Linked DNA regions of Drosophila melanogaster. The protein of the gene in region 2 interacts with the protein of the main gene of each other region in a pairwise test. Each region holds a gene or a part of one and is shown on either strand. Other genes may lie near its edges.

Region 1 (3,465 bases), on a different chromosome or scaffold from region 2:
AGCCACGCCCCCCACCCCCAGCAGAACGCCCCCCTTTCGCGGACTCTCGCTCATTTAGCTGGTTAATTGCATTTCATTTAATTTCCGTCATTTCTTTTGCCCTATTGACGATATTTTGTTGCCATTTCGTAACGTTGCTCCAAGTTTGTTGTTCATTAGCGTGCCAAAGTTGCTCCCAAATCTGCAAAGGGGCTGGCCGCTAGGTGGCGCCACACCGGCGACAAAAGCCGTTCAAAGGGGTCGAATTTCTTGGCCACCTTGGCCATCTCAATCTCTTTGCTCTTTCACTGTTTCACTGCTAATTGCACGGCATTTAAGTGTCCCCCAATTTCCACTCCCCACGCTCCCACATTGTATCGTTTTAAAAACATTTTATTTGCAGAATTTATAGGTGCTGTAAAAGTGTAAGTTCCAAATTGCATTCAACACCCTTGAACTTAAATCATTTTTAAACTCCAAGCATAAACTTTTATTAAAGCTTGAGCGCTCATAGATCCTCCTAATTTATATAAACAAAATCCGCTGGTGTTCATTATATTTCAACCAGTTCGATGGATTACATTTTAACACATTTTAAGTCCAAAAATTCGCACAACAATTATGACTGTAATTATTTATGATAACAAGCCATTAAAAGTTCCACCAATTGCCATTATCTTTGCTAAATAAATGTTCAAAAATTAACAATTGCCTATTAATTTGGTTCAGTTTTTGGTAATAATGGAGCAGCTGCCCCCGGATCTTCCTCCTCGTCTACGGTATCCGCTTTTCCCCTCGATGGATTTTCAGTTGGCGATTGCGAAACGAACGGGAGCGAATGATTCAATTGCCAGGGATAAACAACGCCATGCCGCTCCATGATGCCGATTTTCTGCTGGGGCCTCAGGGCGAAGGAGAAGGTCCTTTGGATCAGGCTTAAAGGCTTGGCCTCCAACTGCAGTGCGTTGTACAGTTCGACCTTCTTGCGCGTCAGTATGTGGGTGGTGGGTGGACTTATGGCCTGGTTAACACAGTTATCGCGCCACAGTTCGAATTCCTCCTGGGTGAAGTTCAGGTTAGAGACATCGTTAATCTCGTGCTGCATCTCCAGGTCATCGTAGCGCAATCGCAGCGCCACATTCGTGGGTATCTGCTCCACTTTGTAGCCAAAGTCCAGTTCGCAGATGCCCAGCACCTCGGCGATTCGATGATCAGGCAACTCTCCCTGCCCACTGACATTCACGCGGACAAAGCATCCAGTGACGGCCTGCTCGAAGGCGGGTCGAACCAGAAGCAGACCGATTCGATGGCGGCTCAGACGTAGCAGCTCCAACTGATCGCGACTGGTCACCGGTAGATCCGGAGTTGGTGGCTTCTCGTAGCCATTCACCCACGACTCGTTCTCGTCGTCGATCCGCAGAGGCGAGGCGCGAAGATTCCTCAGTTCGCGGACTATTTCCGCTGCCGGACGACGAACGTGTCGGGATCGCTGGTTAGACATTTAAGTGGGCTTATGTGAGCTTCGCCAAAAAGGTTTCCTCAATCAACATTCGAACAATTTTTTAAGGGTTTCGGCTTGTTACTTGACCAAACCAAATTGTGACAACTGAATCCGTGGGGGCGACAGCAAACCCGAATAAATTTGTGCTCAACTCGAAAATGGTAGCCACATTTCAAAAACTCGAGTAAGTATAGACCGTAAAGCTGTAGAATATTTTGCAGGGCACTCATTTCGTTCTTTTTTTTTTTCTAGCTGATCCATTTGAATGCATTTAACGACCCGCCTTCGTTTTATGCCCTCCATAAATGCCAGGGGCCAAACTATTAAATTTATATTAATTTCGTAGTTTTTCCTTGGCTAGCATTTCACTTGGCACCCGCTGCTTAAGCCCACATTTTCCCCCCTTGCCGATTATATATACCTGCTGGGGTTGAAAGGAGCGAGAGTGGGTTGGATCTTTTCCCATTTGGCAAAAGATTTATTATACAATTGCTTTAATTACAGTTGCAGCTAATTGTATGCGGACCTCCCGGGCAGATGCTACTTTTGATGCTGGCACAGAGCCCATTCAGTGGGTGGTGGATGCCTGGCTACTGGCTACTGGATATAGTGGGTAATCGGTAGTGGAAAGTGGGTAGTGTATGGTGTATGGTGGCGAGTTAATGGAAGGACGGTGGTTGCCTGATGGAAGGGTAATGCAAAATCTTTGCATGCTTTGTATGTGAGTCTGCATAAATAACTTGGTTGTATGTGTGGCACATCGAAAATGCTGCTCACGCACAAATTCTCCTCGCTCTGCTTGTCGTCCTTGCGACCCCCTCCTGACACCCCCTGCCAACCACCACCTTCAACAGCACCTCATTTTGGAGTCTCCCTCAGCCAGTTCCTTTGGATCCGCCGCCCCATCCTTCAGCATGCGCATACACTTAAGGGCAAACTCGTTTATGCAAGCTCAGTCATCATCATCATCATCATCATCATCATCATCGTCATCATCGGCATCATCGGCATCATCGGCATCCACATCCATATCCTTGTCCACCGCCACATCAGCATCGCTATTCAGGCCATCTTCTCCTCCCCTGCTCAAGTATCCAACACCTCATCTCATCTTCGATGAGCTGACCAACAGAAATTCCCTTCGATTTCAATGATGCTTTCTTTTTTTTTTTTTTTTGGCCATAAAGCGAAAGAAACACTGGCAAAAATTGGTAATTAATCGGTTATATTGGATTTATAAATAAATTATAAATTATAATAGAAAAATCAAAATTTAATGGAATCTTTTTAGCAGGCAAATGAAAATATTTCCTGCTTAAGAGATATCTACAAATTGGCGTAATTTATGGAGATGGCGCGTGGGAGACAATCCCTCGGGCGAACTTTTGAAACAAATCATGTGGCGTTGAAGTTATTAAAACGGCGTAAAACTGAACATCATGCGAATAATTTAAACACTGGATGGCTATGAGTGTGAAAAATCCTAGAAAATTCTAAACGCCATGAGACCCATCCATCATGACGGCATCAGCTGGTCCAACTGGAGGACCCAACATCAAGTCGACGAGGCTCAAGAACTTTTCCTCGAACACCTTTAGGCCGGGGGCGCGGTACAGTCACCACCGCCATGGAGGCCAGTTGGCCACTCCTTGACGTTGACAGGCTGTGCACAAAGTTTGCGCCCATGAGTAGTGTCATGGGTAGTACGTAGTACGTACGTATGTATGTATGTACCATAGGCAAAAGGCGGTGGAGAAGCTGCGAAGGAGGCCGGAACCCTCGTCCAGCTGGCTGACATGCCAAGCCCTTAACCCTTTGCAGTGCTGCCAGCAGTGCTCTTCGGTCCTCAAACCCTAATGAAGTGCAAGAATATATATATGGAAGCTAGTACGAATAACTATTAGGATCCACCATTTTTTTCCCCCTCTGCTAATTACTGCTCACCACTTAAATCAAACGTTCACTAGTTACTAGTTAGCATTTGA
Region 2 (3,761 bases):
CGATTGTACCAGAAAGTTAATGAGTCTCTTGTGCATCACCATTGGTGATAAGATAGAGTCAAATTAATTGCATGTACCCACTTGTGAAACCGATCCGATGACATATTCGTCTGTGTTATCTTTCAATCAGGTTGGCGATGGAAATTCTTGAATCGATCTGAAAGGAATCCAAGGCGAGATGAGTAGGCTGTTCATTATACTTGCCATTCCTTTCCATCACACATCTCAAGATTCTCAAAATTAGGTCACACACATAAGCGCCAACAATTCTTTACAATTAAAAAGCATGTCTATAGAAAAAATCTCCTCCGAGCTGCGTAAGATGATAATATCTGACAATCCAATCGAAGCAACAACTTTCGATAAATCTGCAATAGAGGCAACTTTGGATTCCAACAAATTCGAAGATCTACGAATTCCGAAGCATACACTGAAGCAAAAGTTTCTTCTTCGAAAGTCAATAATTGAACATCCCTTTAAAAGAATTCGTGCCGAAGGAGTGGATTGGGCTCACAAAATTCGAGACACCGACGAAGAGAAGGAATCTAATTGGGCAAAGATTGCGACTGGAAAGGTTTCTGGCAATGCCTACGATCTTAAAACCATGATGAGCGAGTGTGAAAATATTTGTGGTTACGGAAACGCCATAAACTTGACGGTCCCAAGGGTGGACAAACTACAGGATCTGGCTAAATCGATCCCAACGGATCCCGATACAGTCTACCTGACCTGTCAATGTGATGATATTTTCTCTAATGGAGGCACAGAAGCTCCGACTCAAAGCCCCGACGAAGTTAATTTCGAAGAGCTGTCCAGCTACTTCGAAAATATGCTCAACATACCCAAGAATCTTCCGCTCAGCGCTGAAATAATGTATACTTAATGATTGGAACGGTGTGTGTATTGTTATATTTAGAGTAAAAAAAGATATAAATCATTTTAGTTTACGGTTTTCTCATTTTAGATGTGGTGATGTTAGGTTTGGATCCCTATATATGCATATACATATGTACAATGTATGTATCAGATCGACTGATTTCCGTTTTGGTGTTACTGGTACCAAATGTAGACGGGGTTTTCGTACTTCTTGTCTTACTCCACTTTTTAATGTGCTTATTGTGTGGGGCTGGCCAATTAAAATAAGCCCGAAGATGAGCCAAATTCCTAAGCCTAAGCATATTGCCCTTTTTCCCAGCACTTGTACTAACGTTCACACGTTTCGAATTAATAATCCAAAAAAGAAAAAGAAAAGTGTAGCCGCCGCGAAGAATCACAGGCCCACGACACACGCACACAAGAAAACATTACCCATTTACTGCGCACGACGGAGTTTGGCTTACATACCAACGACCAACTACCAAGTTCACTCAACCTTGTTGGCTGGTTTTCGAATTGCCCAAAACAACCGAAAATCGAGACAGTCAACCATTTACTTATTTACCACGGGTACACACACTCACTTATTACCAGTTAGTTGTCCCGGTTCAAGACGACTTTTCAAATGCAGGATTTCAAATTGGATTTTCCCACTCCGGGCAGCTTGACACTTTTCTTTTTAGCCAAACGAACCGAAAGTTTTCATCTGCGATCGGTAGAATATGCACGTTCCGAAAGCCGTTACCCGGAAGCACTTTCTACCGCTCCGACTGCATGTTGTTGAATGAAATTGTTAGCTTTGCTCAAACTCGGCGCTCACATTACGCACAGTGGTCGAGAAAATGATAGATGCTGCTTAGACGGCAACTAAATATTTTAATGGGAAAAATTATGTATGCTAATGTTTTGTTTTAAATTTCTTAACCAATAAAGTAATATAAAGAATATAAATTAATAAAAACATTGTATTGAACGTATTGGTTCAATAATCGTATTTGAATATAGAATAATTTGTACGAAAATATTTAAGGTGTGAACTACTGTGCGGAATCAACTTGTATGTCCTACTGTGACTCTCTTCGACGATAGGGTGTTGCCAGACTGAAGTTGCTACGACTATCGCATCAACTAACGTAGAGCACTGCAGCCCTGGTTGACTAGTGCCGCCCTGGTCCGATTGCCAGAAAAAAACAAGACAAGTGAAAAAGCGAGATAAATCAAATTAAAAATATTGTAAAAAATTGTAGTTAAACACGCGCTGGAGCACGGTGAACTGAAAATGTGAATGAAAACCATCAATAGAGAGAGACGAGCGCGATTTGGTGGCACCAAATGCTGCAGTTGCAACCTGCACATGTATGTGTATACGCGTGAGTGTGCGTTTGCGTAGGAGGCACCAAAATAACAACAGCAATCGCAGTGACAACAAAGAATCGGAATCGGAATCGTACTTGTTTGTACTCGCACAGGACGTACTTGGAATCGGAATCGGAATAGCCACTACCATATGCCAGAGGAGGGAATCGCAGTGCCAATGCATAGTTAATAAATTTCCCAGAAGCTATACGACCAGCAGACCTCAATTGCAATTGCACGCCCCTTGACAAATCACAGTGTCTCAGCCAAAACGAAACTGGAAGCCATCGAGTGCTCCCGTTAAGCAAGCAACTGCAGGCGGAGCACGGGGGAGGAGTAGGACCTGGTGGTGCACCAAGCACGCCCGCACTATGGGCAATTGCCTGAAATGCTTCCAGTCTGCCGCCGAACAATCGATGCCAACGAACGCCTCGTCCCCCAATTCACACAATTCCAATTCCAACGCCTGCCAGACGGCCACCAGCCTTGCAAATTGCTACGAATCGGTGGGCATTAATCCCAATGCCAACGAGCGCTGCGCCTTAGGTGGGTATTCTATAGTTAATAACCGCATTGTGATCCAAAGTCTAAGAAACCTCTCTTATTCCGGCTTATGCACTCTAGAAACCGATGAACTGCTCTCTAGCCGAACTCCACTCAAGCCAGCAAAAGCAAACAATTGTGATACTAAGCGTAATAGTTTTAAGTCTTTAGGTTTGCTTAATGGCAGTGCGCCCACCATGAGCGATATCATAACAACTGGTGAGTCAGCGTTCATTCGACTGCCTTGGCGGCATACTCATTCGATTTTCTATATTCTAATAGCTGTCCAGGAATCGATGGAGGTATCGCACCAAACGCTGAGCAAACTATTCGATGTGTACAAAGATCCCGACGACGAGGAGATGATACTCACGGACGGCATCGAGCGACTATGCAATGACCTCAACTATCAGCCCGATGAGTTCGCAATTCTCGTCTTGGCCTGGTGCCTGGATGCCTCGCAGATGTGCCGCTTCACCAAGGTGGAGTTCATTGAGGGTCTGCATAAGATGAGGGCGGACACAATAGACAGTATCCGGGTGCGGCTGGAGCAGACAATCGAGATGCTCAAGGCGGACGCCGAGATGTTCAAGCAGTTATACCGCTTTACATTCCGGTATGCCGTTCTTACTGCTTGGAAGATCAGTACCTAATTAGCGTCTCAAATTTCAGATTTGGTCTGGAGCCCGATCAGCGCGTCCTCTCTCTGGAGATGGCTATTGACCTGTGGAAACTTGTGTTCACTGTACAAACACCTGATCTCTTCTCCAACTGGATACACTTCCTCGAAAAGCACCCGAATATTCGCCGCATACCGAAGGATACATGGAACATGTACCTCAATTTTACGGAACAATGTGATATACAAAATTACGATGATACCGAAGCGTGGCCCAGCCTCTTCGACGACTTTGTCGACTACGAGAAAAGCCGGGCGCTGGTTTCCTCGGGCATCCACGACGATGACAACAACAACGACGATCCCC
Region 3 (2,956 bases), on a different chromosome or scaffold from region 2:
CATTGATCGATCAACGTTTTTGGCACAACTTAGTGATTCAATTCTTTCAGGGCTGGCTCATTGCATTATACAGTTCACTGGGGTCGCTGATTCATGGGTGCTCGCCAACTTGGGGTTGCCTTGGGATTGGGATAAGATCGTGAGTCATCTTGGGTAACTGGGCACTTGAAAAGTGTTAAGGTAGATCAGAATCATAGGCTTATTTAAATAAGCTATTGAGATCGATGCACTCGATTCCACAAGTAAACTGATAAGATACAAGGGTAAATACGTAGTAGTAGCTGGCATTATATGTTCGATTTTTACTAAATGGTGCGCAAATAAAATAGTTTTTTATCATCTATAGTACCACTAATCCAAGTTGATACTTTTTCTGTTTATTGACAATATATAAACAAGATAAATGAAAACTTAGTGTTTTGGCCACAAAATCCAATAGCCATTTCCCAATATCAGCAGATTCTTCAAAGTTAAAATTTTAGAGATAATACAAACAAACTTAAGTTTGATCAAAAAATCATTCAGTAAATCCACAGCTTAAAGAATGTTATAATACTATTTTTCAAATGTAAAACAAAGGAAAATACTGTTTCGATTTCTCAAAAGTTTTATTATATTTTGAAGAGCATATTTTTCCATTTATTGGGTGGACACAGCAGCGACTGGTACAAATGTAGTAGTGGTGGTGATGTTGTTGTTGGTAGCAACTGGAACTGCAACCTGAGTGGGAACAACCACAACATTTCGGGACATCATCCTGCGGCACTGGCGACAAGGACGGCCCCAAGCCAGGGGATTTGCATAGTACAGGACTCCTCGAGGATGGTTGCACTCGGCGCACTTGAGGTTGATATTGATGTCGGACATGGCTCTGTCTTGTCTTGGCTCTAAGTTGTCTCTGCTCGACTGCACTTCAATTTGGCTTTTAACTTTAACTTATAACCTTTTTATACAGCCAGTTTGAATGCGATAAGAAAAATTGAGGACTCGCTTATCACAACAGTGATGGATCAAACTCGTAATTCTGCTGCAGCAGTTGTGATTCAATCTCTCAATCCCTCGATTTTCTGTGACTCATATGTTCTAGGGATGTTGAACTTTTCATTCTAGAGTGACTCATCATAGACCTCTTCTTAAGTGGTTTTTTAGGATACATTTTTACTTGCTATTCTCGATAGTTTAAGAATCCAAAAATAATTATCTTGACTCTTCTCTTCATGAGTAATTAATTCTTTTTTAGATATCAATTCCCGAACTCTTATCATGAAAAATATTTTTCATTTGTATACATATACATTTTAAGCCATAGTTGGATATGCAATTCTTATTTAAATACGGCAAGAATGGTATAACTTTTCATATAAAATCATAATTCAAATTTTACTTTGAGTCCAGCAAGATCTTTTATATTTATTACGCCATTTAAATTGAGAAAACTATTGCCCAGTTTTCGTTATAATAAAGCTTAAAATATGTTTATGTACTGACAGCACTAGTTGTACAATAATTGATAAGCTGGCTACGACCAGAGGACATCAATCATTTCCCACCAGTCAGATAGCAAAACCGAAGCCAAATAATATATACAAAAACCACAAAAAATCCACGAAAGCAATTACCCGTACGGAAAATAGAGAGTGGAAAAGGAATCATGACCATGACCATTGTTTATGTCGTTCGCCTGCAGTTCAATTTTCATATTTGTACCATTAACATTGCAAATAAATGCAGGCATATATATTCGCAATATGAAAATGTGTCACAGCAAGAACCGACATTGAAAACCAATCAAGTATATTTCAATTAAGGTAAAGTGCATTTAAGTTATTTAAGCAAATATTTCGAGCGGATTTACAATTGCATTGGCAATAAGATTGAGGCAAATTAAAATGTCAGCTTACATGAAGAAATATGTGCGTAATATATAGTATACTATAGTATATAGTAGTATAAACACGAAATTCAAACATGAAGGAGTGAACTGTTTATTTATTTTTTATTTTTATTATACAAGAGCTTAGGTTTTGTAAAAAGTTAGTTTATAGTTTCTATTTGCAGAAATACATGAAGTTTAATAAATATTTTTAAAGTTTTTTACTTCGTTGTTGAACGACGGTCATATGGAGACCACGCCTACCACCTGGGCGGTGGGGGCTGCTGAACGATGATGACCTCTTCCCTGGGAGGTGGACGCCGACCGCCGATGTTGAACTCGATGAAGGGAGCTCTTGGTGGCACCACATCCACCTCGATAATGGGTCGTGGTGGTGGCGGCTGGTAGACGGCAGCTGGTGTGATGACCTCCACCCTGGGCGGTGGTGGTGGATACCGGCCGCCCACTCCGATCTCAATCACTGGTCGAGGAATCCTTGGCGGCACAATGTCCACCTCTACAATTGGCCTTCCACCGTGATGGTGATGATGGTGATGACGACGTTCCTCCTCGTAGTACGGCATTTTCTTCAGAAACTATCCAAGTATTGTATCCTTAGTGGGTGAAGTGAATGCCTTTGACTGCTTTCTCGAACTGAACTTGCTTCTTCGCCTGCTTAACTATTTAAGTCAATTTTTATCGCTAATGAGGGGGAATTTTTTTTCCTAATTTTGTTATGTGCGTTTTGCACAGTAGCTTAGTTGGTTATCTTGTCAGGTGGAATAAATGTGTTTTTTTCGATAAAAAAAAAATAAAATTGATAAGTGCCATTTGATAAATACGAAATTCCGAATTGAATTTCATGAGGAGAGTTCAAGGTTTCCATGAATCACAATTTTATATTTAAGAGGAAGGACTTAATTCCATGCTTCTGATTGATGACTCACACTAAATTACATAAACATAAATAAAATCGATAATGCAGTATTTAGAATATTTTTAGAATTAAAGACGGGTAGGTTTTTTGAAGAGCAAGATATTTTATTTATTTCGTTTTAAGGTTATATAGCACAATTATATTTT

Evidence for each region.
Region 1: the proteins of Sans (region 2) and CG12498 interact in a two-hybrid assay, tested with the Drosophila melanogaster proteins (one large-scale study listed by BioGRID).
Region 3: the proteins of Sans (region 2) and CG43773 interact in a two-hybrid assay, tested with the Drosophila melanogaster proteins (one large-scale study listed by BioGRID).

Annotation. Positions count from the first base shown.
Region 1 is NC_004354.4:2,807,982-2,811,446, reverse strand, and holds CG12498 (uncharacterized protein), read right to left. Parts: upstream 1,567-3,465; 5' UTR 1,481-1,566; coding exon 695-1,480; 3' UTR 601-694; downstream 1-600.
Region 2 is NT_033778.4:12,934,796-12,938,556, reverse strand, and holds the start of Sans (scaffold protein containing ankyrin repeats and SAM domain), read right to left. Parts: upstream 1,667-3,761; 5' UTR 1,468-1,666; exon of another isoform or gene 1,461-1,467; intron 942-1,460; exon of another isoform or gene 884-941; coding exon of another isoform or gene 287-883; exon of another isoform or gene 214-286; intron 158-213; 5' UTR 105-157; coding exon 82-104; intron 1-81. Other genes in the region: CG30487 (uncharacterized protein), read left to right, coding at 287-883; SCCRO3 (squamous cell carcinoma-related oncogene 3), read left to right, coding at 2,604-2,778, 2,857-2,994, 3,058-3,391, 3,448-3,761.
Region 3 is NT_033779.5:4,005,614-4,008,569, reverse strand, and holds CG43773 (uncharacterized protein), read right to left. Parts: upstream 881-2,956; 5' UTR 868-880; coding exon 640-867; 3' UTR 586-639; downstream 1-585. Other genes in the region: CG15423 (uncharacterized protein), read right to left, coding at 2,134-2,457.